Arabidopsis thaliana: one gene and its partners. The main gene of each other region encodes a partner of the protein of the gene in region 3 in a complex. Each region holds a gene or a part of one and is shown on either strand. Other genes may lie near its edges. The genes, in order: AT3G24880, AT4G37280 and HAM1.

Region 1 (3,754 bases), on a different chromosome or scaffold from region 3:
AAAGAGAACATGTTCGGTTTGAGAAGGGAGAAGGGAGACTCACTGAAGCCATTTTCGACATTTGTTGTAGGAAAATTGGTATCGGAGAAGGAAGCTTCTTCTGGCAACACTGTGCAGTGACGGCAGTAAAATTCCCTTTTTGCAGAAGGCAAAAAAAATTACTTCTTTTTTTCCAACTCGAAATTTTTACTTTGGCTGTAAATAGTAAAATTGTTTTTGAGGAATTTAAAATGGTTACATCATTTACATGTTGAGGTATACTTGAGGAATTTGTGAGGAATTGTTCATGTTTAAGAGTTTTATTTTTGTTTTTAAGTTGTTTCATAAATTAATAAAATTATTATTCTTAGAACTAAACAACGCAATAGGCTGCACAAAAAGAAAAGAATCTATTGTCATGTCCATGGAAAATATGAGAGAAGACTTCCACTAGAAGTTGTTAGTAAGGAAAATTCTAAACAGAAAAAAATAGTTTAAATTTTATTTTAAAAGTAAAAATTAGTAGTTTATTTTATTAGTTTATGCGTTTATATAATATTTCTATTTGATAAAAAATAAGATTAAATGTATTACATTCTTAATATTTTGTAATTTGTAACTTTTTACAAATTAAGTTACTATCTTATGTTTAATAAAATTATTAAATTATAGAAAATTTCAAGTTTAATATTTTTTCATATGTTTTATTTGGTATTAGTCTCTTAGATTTCTAAACCCGAACCCAAAAAACCCGGACTCGATCCGAATTGCCTATGGACAACGTGGGACAAATATAGTTTTACAAAACCAGCGACATGCCTGAGATTTGTAGAGATCCATGTCACACAACATGAAACTGTTATAACTTTATTACTACAAAAAGGCCCGAAACAAGACCAAGCAAACAAAAAGAAAGGCCTTGTTTGGTCAAAATCTCAGGCCCAGAATTCGGAGAGAGAGAGAGAGAGTCGCATACTGCGTCGAGGAGAGAGAGAGAGAGAGAAAGAACGAAAAAAAAACATCAACGAGAACTCAATTTTTTTTTTTATCTCCCGAGAGGGAAACCAAAATTGAAAACGAAAAATAGCTGAATTAGGAATCAATCTCGCAACAAGCAAGCAATTTCCATGGATTCCTTGTTTTGGGAGGAGCTTCTTCTCTTCTACTCTCTGAGAAATTGATTCTCGTCTTTCGATTTGAAAGAAAAGCTTATAAGAATTTGGAAGCCCTAGGAGAGAGAAACTAATTTTAGAATTTGGTGATTTTGCCCGAGTTTTGTGCCCTAGCTTTTTGCCTTCGTTCTGTTCTGTTCTACGTTCAATTTCCAGGTTTAACTCTCTTCTCCTTCACTCTTCTATTCAAACCCTAGAGTCCAGCTTTGCTGGAGCTTCTGTGATTTTGAACCCAGTGCTTCTTTTATCAGGAATGTGAATTGTTTGCTGAAATTGTGTCTCTGTAGTTCTTTGTTTCTACTCGTTTAGCTTGGAAATGCTCAATACTTGATTCAAGAGTTCGTAGGCACGCCATTAAGTAGCTTAAGCTGATCATTTTCTAACTTTGGTTCCTAGTAATCGTTGTTAGTGTTGGATTAAGCTTCTAGAACCTCTCTGCCTTGAGGCAACATTTCATTTCTTTGGTATCTTAGAGTTCTATTCTATCTCTGTTATGCTGGAATACGTAGTTGTGAGCTTCTCGGGGATCAGAATGGTATTGGCGTTAGATATATAGAATTCTCAGTCAAATACTAGATTCTGGGGAGTTATCTTCACTTTGATGTTCCTTTGGATAGTGGCTAGAGTATATGAGTGAATGTTGTTTTACTTTTGACATCTTCTGAGCAGTTACATCTTGAATCTGATAAGCTACTCTATTATATGATATCATATGGTACTGCTTTTTGCATCATGAGAACATACATTTTACCAGTGTTATTTGTAGGTCCAACATTTAGGTGTAACTGATTCTAACTTCTGCAGTATGATCATTCGGAATGCTGTAAATACTGAAAGCTCTTGATATAATTTTTCAGTTAAGCTAGAATTCGAATTGATGGGGTATTCGACGTGGTGATGCATGGAAGCGTTTCAGGATATCTTCTAGTAAATGCTGAGGTTGATTCCATGGGAGGAGTTATCGATAGTGGAGGTGGTATTGGTGTTAAAACATCTCCGCGCCGAACAGCTATTGAGAAGGCTCAAGCGGAGCTAAGGTATTTCAGATTGAGACATCTTGATCTTCTGCAGTGTGTTTAAATGCTCTATAATTTCTACAGCTTTCTATTATTTCCAATGTGTAACAAAGATGCTTATTTCAACAGGCAAGAGTATGATGTTCGTGAGGAAAGGAGGAGAGAATTGGAGTTTCTAGAGAAAGTATGAATACCTATTTCCCTGTTCTATAATTGTTTTGTGTGTGTGTGTGTAAGAACTTATGATGACAAGCCTTTACTCTTCTATCTGCTTCAGGGCGGTAATCCCTTGGATTTCAAGTTTGGTATTGCAACTTCACATAGCGTCCAATCTACATCACTCACAGATCAGCAAGCAGAGCATTTTGTAAACAGGTACATTCGTGTTTGGTGTAGTTCCCACATTAATTTCATGGAATAACTCATCATTATTTGCCCATAACCCCCACAGTGAAGTCAAAGATAGTTTTGCCCTGACTGCCTCACCACATGGTGACTCGGTGGAGAGTAGCGGTAGACCTGGAGTTCCTACAATTTCTGAACCCAATACAGCAGATAATCTTTTACTGTTTGATTCTGAAAACAAGTCAGTTGAAGGGGAAAGAAATTTGAGACATCCTAATAGGCAAAACAGAACTTCTGAGTCAGAACGATCTTCCAAAGCACACACCAACCAGAATACCAAAGAAACAGAAGATTCTGCCATCTTTCGCCCGTATGCTCGGAGGAACAGATCGAAGATAAGTCGGGATCCAGCACGGTCAAGCTCTACGGATTTAGTTCAGAATCGTGGTGGTCTTGCAACGTCTATATCTATTCGCAGAGGATCAGTGGAAGGAAAGGGTTGCATTCCCGAAGCAGCCAATCAAAAGGATATGCATACAACTTCTGTATCTTGTCCAGTATTTGCAAATTCAAATGGTAATATCGTTCCGAAAAATAGAGTTTCCAGCAATTCGCTGAATACTAAGGTGGATGGTGAACCTGTTGTACGAGAGAGTACTGCTGGATCCAAGACTAGTCTATTGAAAGATGAAGCCGACATTTCGTATAGTAAAAGCTCTGCATATTTGCCAGTTGGAGAGTCTGGCCTTGCTGGGGAGAAGGCACAACTAGTTTCGACTGGTGGTTCTCCCAAAGCTGCAACAATAGCTGGCCAGAAAAATAGTTCTACCCAACTGAATGGCCTAAGAGATTCCACGGTAGAGGAAGAAAGCTTAACAAATAGAGGAGCTACAGGGACTAATGGGTTAGAGTCAGAGTCTTCTCATGCGAACAACGTAGAAGTAAATGTAGATAATGAAAGAGATCTTTATAAAGTGGACAAACTTGACTCTGATGAAATCTCTATGCAGAAGACTTTGAGAGTAGAGGGGTTACTAGATCAAACAGTTGGTGAAATGACCAAAACTAAGATTGAAGATGAGACAGGTCAATCTACCACCATTATCAGTGAGTGCATTCCTGAATGTGAAATGCAGATGAAATCGGTTAAAATTGAAAATCAAAGTCACAGAAGTACAGCTGAGATGCAAACTAAGGAGAAAAGTTCCGAGACTGAGAAAAGGCTTCAAGATGGGTTGGTTG
Region 2 (3,754 bases), on a different chromosome or scaffold from region 3:
CTAAGTTAATAATTTCAAAATAGTGATTTCACCTTAAAATATGGGAAAGAGTTTCCTGATGCTCTGGAATTTGGTTTCTTTGTCTTATACTCTAACTGCGGATAAAAAGGAGCGATTTTGCTATAAAAAGGAACAGTTTGAGATGATATTACACTTTATTCCGGTAAATTATTTGGCTACCATCAATAATATATTCTTCAAAACTATCAATCTTCCTTTTTTTTTAGAAAATAAATAAATTTCATCACAACTCTGTTTGAAAAATCGTTTATGAACTTGAGACGGAAAAATTATCATAATTCAACGTCATATAGCAGCAAGAGTTGAAATAAAAATTAATGGTTTTGTCTTTTCATAGGATAGATTTCTTATTTCTACCTAACAAAAACTAAAATTTGGATGTTGAATTTTGAGTAGTATAAAGTTTGGTTGTTCAATGTTTTTTGCAAGAAAAATCACGTGAGAAGGAACTATTTTTGGTCGTGCAAGAAAAATAACACCAAAGTGTTTGAACTTTTGAAGCATTGATGATTAGGTTTGGTGTATCTAACAATATTATAAAACAAACACATGAGATCCGACTCATAGTCAATTTAGCTTATGTCACTCCTTAAATCAGCTGGTTTAACCGAACCAGAAACCCTAACCAAATTTTTAAAAAAAATTCAAGTTATCTGATTTTAAATTTATTTTCTATATATAAAAAATTTGGCTGAAAGTTGAAACGAAACCAAAGCTAGAGATGTACATTTTCTAGTAAAGTAAAATAAAGTAAACAAATTCAATCTGAAACCAACAATATACCATAATATACTTACGAAAACCAAATCTAAACCGGCTAACGATATATGTGAGTGTGACTTTATATACGTTGCGAGTTTGAAATTCAAGCATTATTTTTGGTCTACACAACTACAAATCTACCTTAATATTTAGCTGCCGTCTGCTCCAAACAATGAAACTTCATGTTTGGTCTACGATATTAAATTCTTTATTTCTAATATTCAATTCCTTATCCTTTTCTTCATTGATGGCTTTCACTATTTTGTGTTCAATAAATACACACAAAATTGAATGCTCAAGAAACAAGTTGGTATTTTCCCAGGAAGCAGCATACTAACTAATTTCAATGATCACATTCTTTTCAATTCAAACTTAGTCAAGAATAAAAATTCAAACTTTGCATCTCCACGAACACTACTATATAGTCACATTCTCAACTCACAAAACACTCACAACAAAATTCATTATCTGCCAAAGAGAAAGAAAACCATATTTTTTATAAACAGAGTTAAATTGTTCTTAAACATGATGATGAACAAAAACGTTCTGAGTTCGATTCTGTTCTTCATGTTGATTGGTTCGGTTCTTGTCGAGAGTCGTCCGCTTGGTCTAACAAAGACCGAGGAGAAGTTCGTGGCTAGTTTATTCGATGGCTTATCACTTGGTTCGATCAAAGACTCAGGTCCAAGTCCAGGCGAGGGTCATAAGGTCGTGGACAGGAAGGATACGTTTCGATTTGTTAAGCACTCAGGTCCAAGCCCAAGCGGACCGGGCCACTAATGTTTCAATCTTTAGTTCAAACCGGGCCGGTTAAAGTGCCCATACCCATCTAGGTCGAGAAAATTATTTCATTTTTTTGTTCCAGTTTCATTAGTGGAAAATATTATACATGTCTCATGTTTCTGATCGATACATAGGAAGAAGAATGGCAAAAACAATAATTATTGTCTCATTTTTCTATATTTAGGATTATTGTTTTGTTAGTGAAATAAAGTTACTTGAAAAGTATACAAATAAAATGTATTAATCAATTTTTTTATATTTATTTGAATGTAATAATAGTTAATAAACATCAGTGTCCAAAGTGAAATATGAGTCCAACTGCTCAACGACCAATAAAGGCATAAATTTTTTTAAAAAGACAATGCTTTATAAATGGGCGACGAGTATATTTAAAAGGTTTAAGAGATTTAATCGAACTATTGTGAAAGTTAAGGGACTCAATTGAAAAACTATTCGCAACGATTCAGTCATTCAGCAGTTGTCGTAGATTCATTTATCTAGACGGTTAAAGGGGTGCCTTGTGATGTGAAGATCTTTGCCTCTCGCTCTCGCTTTCGGTGACAATGGGAAGCTCGTCGAAGGAAGAGACGGCGAGTGACGGAGATACGGCGAGCGGTGGCGCCTCACCGTCCAACGACGGCAGACTCTTCTCGGAGGGCGAGCGTGTTCTCGCTTACCATGGTCCTCGCGTCTACGGAGCCAAGGCAAATAAAAAACCTCTCTCTCTCTCTCTCTTTCTCTGTGCATCGTCAGATGTTCGCATAATTTGAATTCTAGAGATTATCTTGTTCGTGTTAATTTAGCAATTCTTGTATTTCACGTGGGTTTTGGTTGTATCCGACTACGGAATTAACTGGTTTCATTGAATTGAGATCTCTCTGCTAGATTTGGCTTAGGGGTTTCTTGGTAGATTTCGGTTTCAAGTTACGACGATCCGAAAGATGAACCCATTGAGATTGGATTCGAGTTTTCTTTTTTTGGTAATGGATTCATGTAGCATTAGAGCTTTTTAGATTGGAATGATCATAAATGCTTAGTCGTAATAGATGCAAAAGAATAATTCACTTGCCGTTGGAGCAAGGAATTCAATAAATTACTCGGAAAATAGGGCAAGCTAATCTACTTGCATGTTTATTTTTTCAATCATATATTATATAGGTCACTGGATTGAGTCTCATTCATATCAAATGTGTGTCGTTGTTATGCTAAATCTTCATAGTTTTGAAAAAAATCTGTTATTGCATAGTGTTTTCAGTGTGTGGGCAGACCTGATAGATTATTGACATTCCATTACAGGTTCAAAAGGTCGAGCTTCGGAAAAAGGAGTGGAAATACTTTGTGCACTATCTTGTGAGGCCTCCTTCTTCTGAGCTATTATAGTTTCATTATCCTGTTTCATGTACTAGCTATTTTCATTTTGGTTTGCAGTAATAAGTGATACAGCGATCTTTGTCTGCAGGGTTGGAACAAAAAGTGAGTATCTCTCTCTGCTCTCATGTCGATTCTGGTTTATGTAGCAAAATCAGTAGATTGGGACCCATGACATGATTGTCTTGCCAACAGTTGGGATGAATGGGTTAGTGCGGATAGATTGTTGAAACATACCGAGGAGAATCTTGTCAAACAGAAAGCTCTAGACAAAAAGCAAGGAGTTGAAAAAGGTACCAAGTCTGGCCGTTCCGCTCAGACAAAAACTAGAAGCTCTGCAGGTGAGTTGTTGCCTCCACATTGACCATGCTGAGAGTACATGATACATATTTTGGTCATCCAGGCTAAGAAACTAACTATTTCTTTCTGATCTTGCACTTGCAGACACAAAGGCTGATAAAGATGACACCAAGACCAATGGTAGGCAACATATTAATTTACGCTCCCTTTGTAGTTCAGGGTTCTCCCAACAATTTCCAAGGAAATGATTTGGTAGACTGGGTGCAACTTAAATTATTTAAGCTGGTGTATAGATGATTACATTTTCTGTTGCAGCTGCAAAAGGGAAGAAACGAAAGCACGAGTCAGGCAATGAGGTCAGGCTTGCAAAAACTTAGAGATGTATTTGGTTCATACCTGTTAGGTCTTTGTTAAGATTATATTTTACAGTACAATAGATGGCTGATGTGTTGTTATGCATATACACACATACGAAAAGGGTCAATTTTTCAGGTCTTCTAATATCGATAAGGTTTTTGTT
Region 3 (3,754 bases):
CCAAATCTTCGTCACTTAAAATTTTTGGTATGATTAGTCAATTGATTGAGAAATATTAAATTCCAAATATTCAGGTGATCTCTAAAGATTGTTCTTCTTGGCAATTTGAAAGTTGTAGCAAAGACGAAAGTAATAAAGTAACGGTCATATTAAATTCATGAAATACGATAATTTAAATAGAGATTTTACGAAAGTAGTTAATGCAAATGTAAATCATTCAACAAGGCGATCAAGAATCCCGGAGACAACACCACAAATACGTCTCAGACTAGCTTCACGCCGGCGAATCTCCACCGGATAAGCCAACCCTTTAACCCGCCTAAAAATATTCCGGCAAACATTAGGATAATCCTGCGCCGCCAACACATGCATGGAGGCATAGTCATAAGCTTCATCATCAAGATCTTGAATCGTCAGCCGGAGAGAATCAGCGGCGAGAGCATACTTCTCGGAGCAATCTTGTAAGACCTTTTTGAGAACGGTGTCTTTTACGGTGGCGGATAGGTTTCCAGCGATGTAATTTGCGGTGGAGGTGGCGTTTGTCATACCAACGCCGACCATAATGGAGGCGAGACCTTTTGTGTCGGCTGTGGGACTTCTTGGGTCGGATTTGAGAGCTGAGACGCAGAATTTGTAGTAGTTTGTGGTTTTGCAAGTTGATTCGATTATTGTTGTTGTGTTGGATTTGGCTGAGATTAGGGTTGATGCTGAAAAGGTTAGGGTAACGAGGAGGAGGAAGATGAGAGAAGAAGCCATTTCAGGAAGAAGGTTTTGAGCAACTGTTTACGGAGAGATAGAGATGGAAGAAAGAGGATTCTTGTCTTTATATTCTGAGCAGTTTCTTGAATTACATATTTTACAAAATAAATACAAATGATAACGTTTCCGTTTATCATTTGTAATTGCACTAAATGAGGAATGATTTTCGCATGTAGTGTGGTAGTTTATACTAATATTGACCTATCAAGATTTAAATTCACATGATGCAAATTGTTGGTCAAATAATGAATTAAATTAAAATACGTTTTTCCAGCTTCGTCATTTCATTACATTTGAGTATCTTTACTTTATTTTTGAAGAATTTAGAATTGATGATATACGAACAAGATATTTGTCGATGAATCAATCATTGTAGGTAAAAGAATCAGCCACTTCAACACGTTATTTCCAAAATTTGATAACTAAGTTTTGTTTGCTCAACCAAAAAAATTCTGTCTGTTTTAAAGATTTCGTCACTCTTTTCTCATTTTTTCTTACAATTATACAATTTCACATCATTATTATGAAAAAGGATACACGGTGTGTAGTAGCTACAAAAATTAGAAAGATGAATATATGTCACCAAATTAAATCATTTTATTTAAATTTTCCCTTTAGTCAAGTTGCCATATAAGTATATAACGTGTTTACATGTGAACAACTGAAATAGGAATCAATTCTATTTTTCTTCATTCGAATTTCAAAAGTAAGTAAGTCATCCACTTCAATTCATAACCGAAAAATAAAAGTAAATTGATAGTATGTAAAAGTAAAACATTCTTTAAGAAAAATGAGATGTAAAATTTCACATACAAGATACAGTAAAGTGACCATGTGAATCTTTTTTGTTCATAAAAAATCATTTTGGTTAATCTAGAGGAACATGGTGTGCGAATCTATGACCATAACTTCAAGGACACGATGATGAGTTGTGTTTTTCGTCTTTGCTTCTTGGAACTTTGTGATTTTTTGATCTGTGAATCTTGTGATTAGTACGAATCATAAAGCCTTGTTTGGCTGTTTCCCATTCACGACAAAATACTGACTCTGTCACTTATTATTTATCTCTCATTATCTCTTTAGTTTTTATAAATTGTTTGCTCCTACTAATCATTCTTTAAATGTAACCTGGCGATTATAAAACTAAACATAAGCCAACAGTTATAAAACGTGTATTAACGACGGTAAGAGATTTTTTGCACCCAAAAAAAAAGGACGGTAAGAGAGACATATAGTACAGGCCAATTATAAAGATAGGCCCAATTGAGCATTCAAAGTTGTTATTGGGCCACACTCCTTCCAAATGATGTTCTTTATCCGTATGAGAAAAGAATCCACCCGGAAAAAATCTCCGACCCGACTAAAGAAATGGGATCGTCTGCGGATACAGAGACGGCGATGATAATCGCCACACCGGCGTCGAACCATAATAATCCGGCAACCAACGGCGGAGATGCGAATCAGAATCATACTTCTGGTGCGATACTCGCTCTCACGAATTCAGAATCGGATGCTTCGAAGAAGAGAAGAATGGGGGTGCTTCCGCTCGAGGTTGGTACTCGCGTGATGTGTCAATGGAGAGACGGAAAATACCATCCGGTGAAGGTTATCGAGCGCCGAAAGAATTATAATGGTGGTCACAATGATTACGAGTACTACGTTCATTACACAGAGTGTATGTCGTTTCCTCCTTTCTCTATCTGAAATTTGTGAATCTAGGGTTTATAGATTGGAGCTGAAATTTCGAAGAATTGAATTAGAGGGCTTTGCAATTCAAGTTGTTTTGAGTATCACAACTCTTGTGAAACTGCAGTTAATAGAAGATTGGATGAATGGATTAAGCTTGAACAGCTTGACCTTGATTCAGTAGAGTGTGCTTTAGATGAAAAAGTTGAAGACAAGGTATTAGCCATTTTTCTTCAAAGTCTTGAGCTTTCCTCTCCGTAGTTTGCACTGAAACATAGAAGTTTGTTTGTGGTAATAGGTGACTAGCTTGAAGATGACACGACACCAGAAACGGAAGATTGATGAGACTCATGTAGAGGTAAAGTGATTGGTTAAGTTAGTTAAACTTTGTTGTGGTTTTAGTGAACTGTGTGGCATGCTATATATTCTGATGTTTTTCGATATTTTGTATAGGGTCATGAAGAGCTGGATGCTGCCAGTTTGCGTGAACACGAGGAGTTCACGAAAGTGAAGAACATAGCTACGATTGAGCTTGGGAAGTATGAGATTGAGACGTGGTACTTCTCTCCTTTTCCTCCAGAATACAATGACTGCGTGAAGCTCTTTTTCTGTGAGTTTTGCCTCAGTTTTATGAAGCGCAAAGAGCAGCTTCAAAGACATATGGTGAGCAACTGTTTTTTTTATCATTTGTAGCATTTTAATTGTTTTGTCTTTACAGTTATTTTTAGTTTCACACATACCTTTTATGGGTCATTCTTTTTACTTAAGTTTTGCTCAATCGTCTTTTATCTATGCAGAGGAAATGCGATTTGAAGCACCCCCCTGGGGATGAAATCTATCGAAGCTCTACTTTGTCAATGTTTGAGGTAATAGATTGATGTTTTCATCCTTAAACTGTTTGCTTTAGGCTTACGATACTTGTTTGGAAGCTAATAAATGTATTTAGAATTGAATTTTCACGACCTGGGAGTTTATTTGTAATATCTTACAGGTGGATGGCAAGAAGAATAAGGTCTATGCACAGAACCTCTGTTATCTGGCAAAGTTATTTCTTGACCACAAAACTCTTTACTATGACGTTGATTTGTTCCTGTTCTATATTCTCTGTGAATGTGATGATCGTGGATGCCACATGGTTGGATACTTTTCAAAGGTATCAGCACACTTTGGCTCTTGGGTCTGTTATATACATGTTCTGTTTCAATTTGATTGTCTGATGAAAAAAATGCAATTTCTGTTGGTACAGGAAAAACACTCAGAAGAAGCTTACAACTTGGCTTGCATCCTTACACTTCCTCCATATCAAAGG

What was found.
Region 1: HAM1 (region 3) and AT3G24880 share a complex: the UniProt entries of both Arabidopsis thaliana proteins name them as parts of the nuA4 histone acetyltransferase complex.
Region 2: HAM1 (region 3) and AT4G37280 share a complex: the UniProt entries of both Arabidopsis thaliana proteins name them as parts of the nuA4 histone acetyltransferase complex.

The regions. Positions count from the first base shown.
Region 1 is NC_003074.8:9,093,832-9,097,585, reverse strand, and holds the start of AT3G24880 (Helicase/SANT-associated, DNA binding protein), read left to right. Parts: upstream 1-2,048; coding exon 2,049-2,188; intron 2,189-2,296; coding exon 2,297-2,351; intron 2,352-2,444; coding exon 2,445-2,542; intron 2,543-2,618; coding exon 2,619-3,754. UniProt on the Arabidopsis thaliana protein: Component of the NuA4 histone acetyltransferase complex which is involved in transcriptional activation of selected genes principally by acetylation of nucleosomal histone H4 and H2A.
Region 2 is NC_003075.7:17,547,738-17,551,491, reverse strand, and holds the start of AT4G37280 (MRG family protein), read left to right. Parts: upstream 1-1,932; 5' UTR 1,933-2,129; coding exon 2,130-2,270; intron 2,271-2,862; coding exon 2,863-2,916; intron 2,917-3,025; coding exon 3,026-3,039; intron 3,040-3,129; coding exon 3,130-3,275; intron 3,276-3,378; coding exon 3,379-3,414; intron 3,415-3,549; coding exon 3,550-3,590; intron 3,591-3,754. Other genes in the region: AT4G37290 (uncharacterized protein), read left to right, coding at 1,309-1,563. UniProt on the Arabidopsis thaliana protein: Chromatin remodeling factor. Acts as a 'reader' protein by binding to H3K36me3 and H3K36me3 to control histone H4 acetylation. Increases the transcriptional levels of the flowering time genes FLC and FT.
Region 3 is NC_003076.8:25,828,877-25,832,630, reverse strand, and holds the start of HAM1 (histone acetyltransferase of the MYST family 1), read left to right. Parts: upstream 1-1,961; 5' UTR 1,962-2,127; coding exon 2,128-2,434; intron 2,435-2,572; coding exon 2,573-2,661; intron 2,662-2,743; coding exon 2,744-2,803; intron 2,804-2,898; coding exon 2,899-3,108; intron 3,109-3,242; coding exon 3,243-3,311; intron 3,312-3,436; coding exon 3,437-3,598; intron 3,599-3,691; coding exon 3,692-3,754. Other genes in the region: C/VIF2 (cell wall / vacuolar inhibitor of fructosidase 2), read right to left, coding at 214-756. UniProt on the Arabidopsis thaliana protein: Histone acetyltransferase which may be involved in transcriptional activation. Acetylates 'Lys-5' of histone H4 (H4K5ac). Essential for gametophyte development. Involved in DNA repair after UV-B exposure.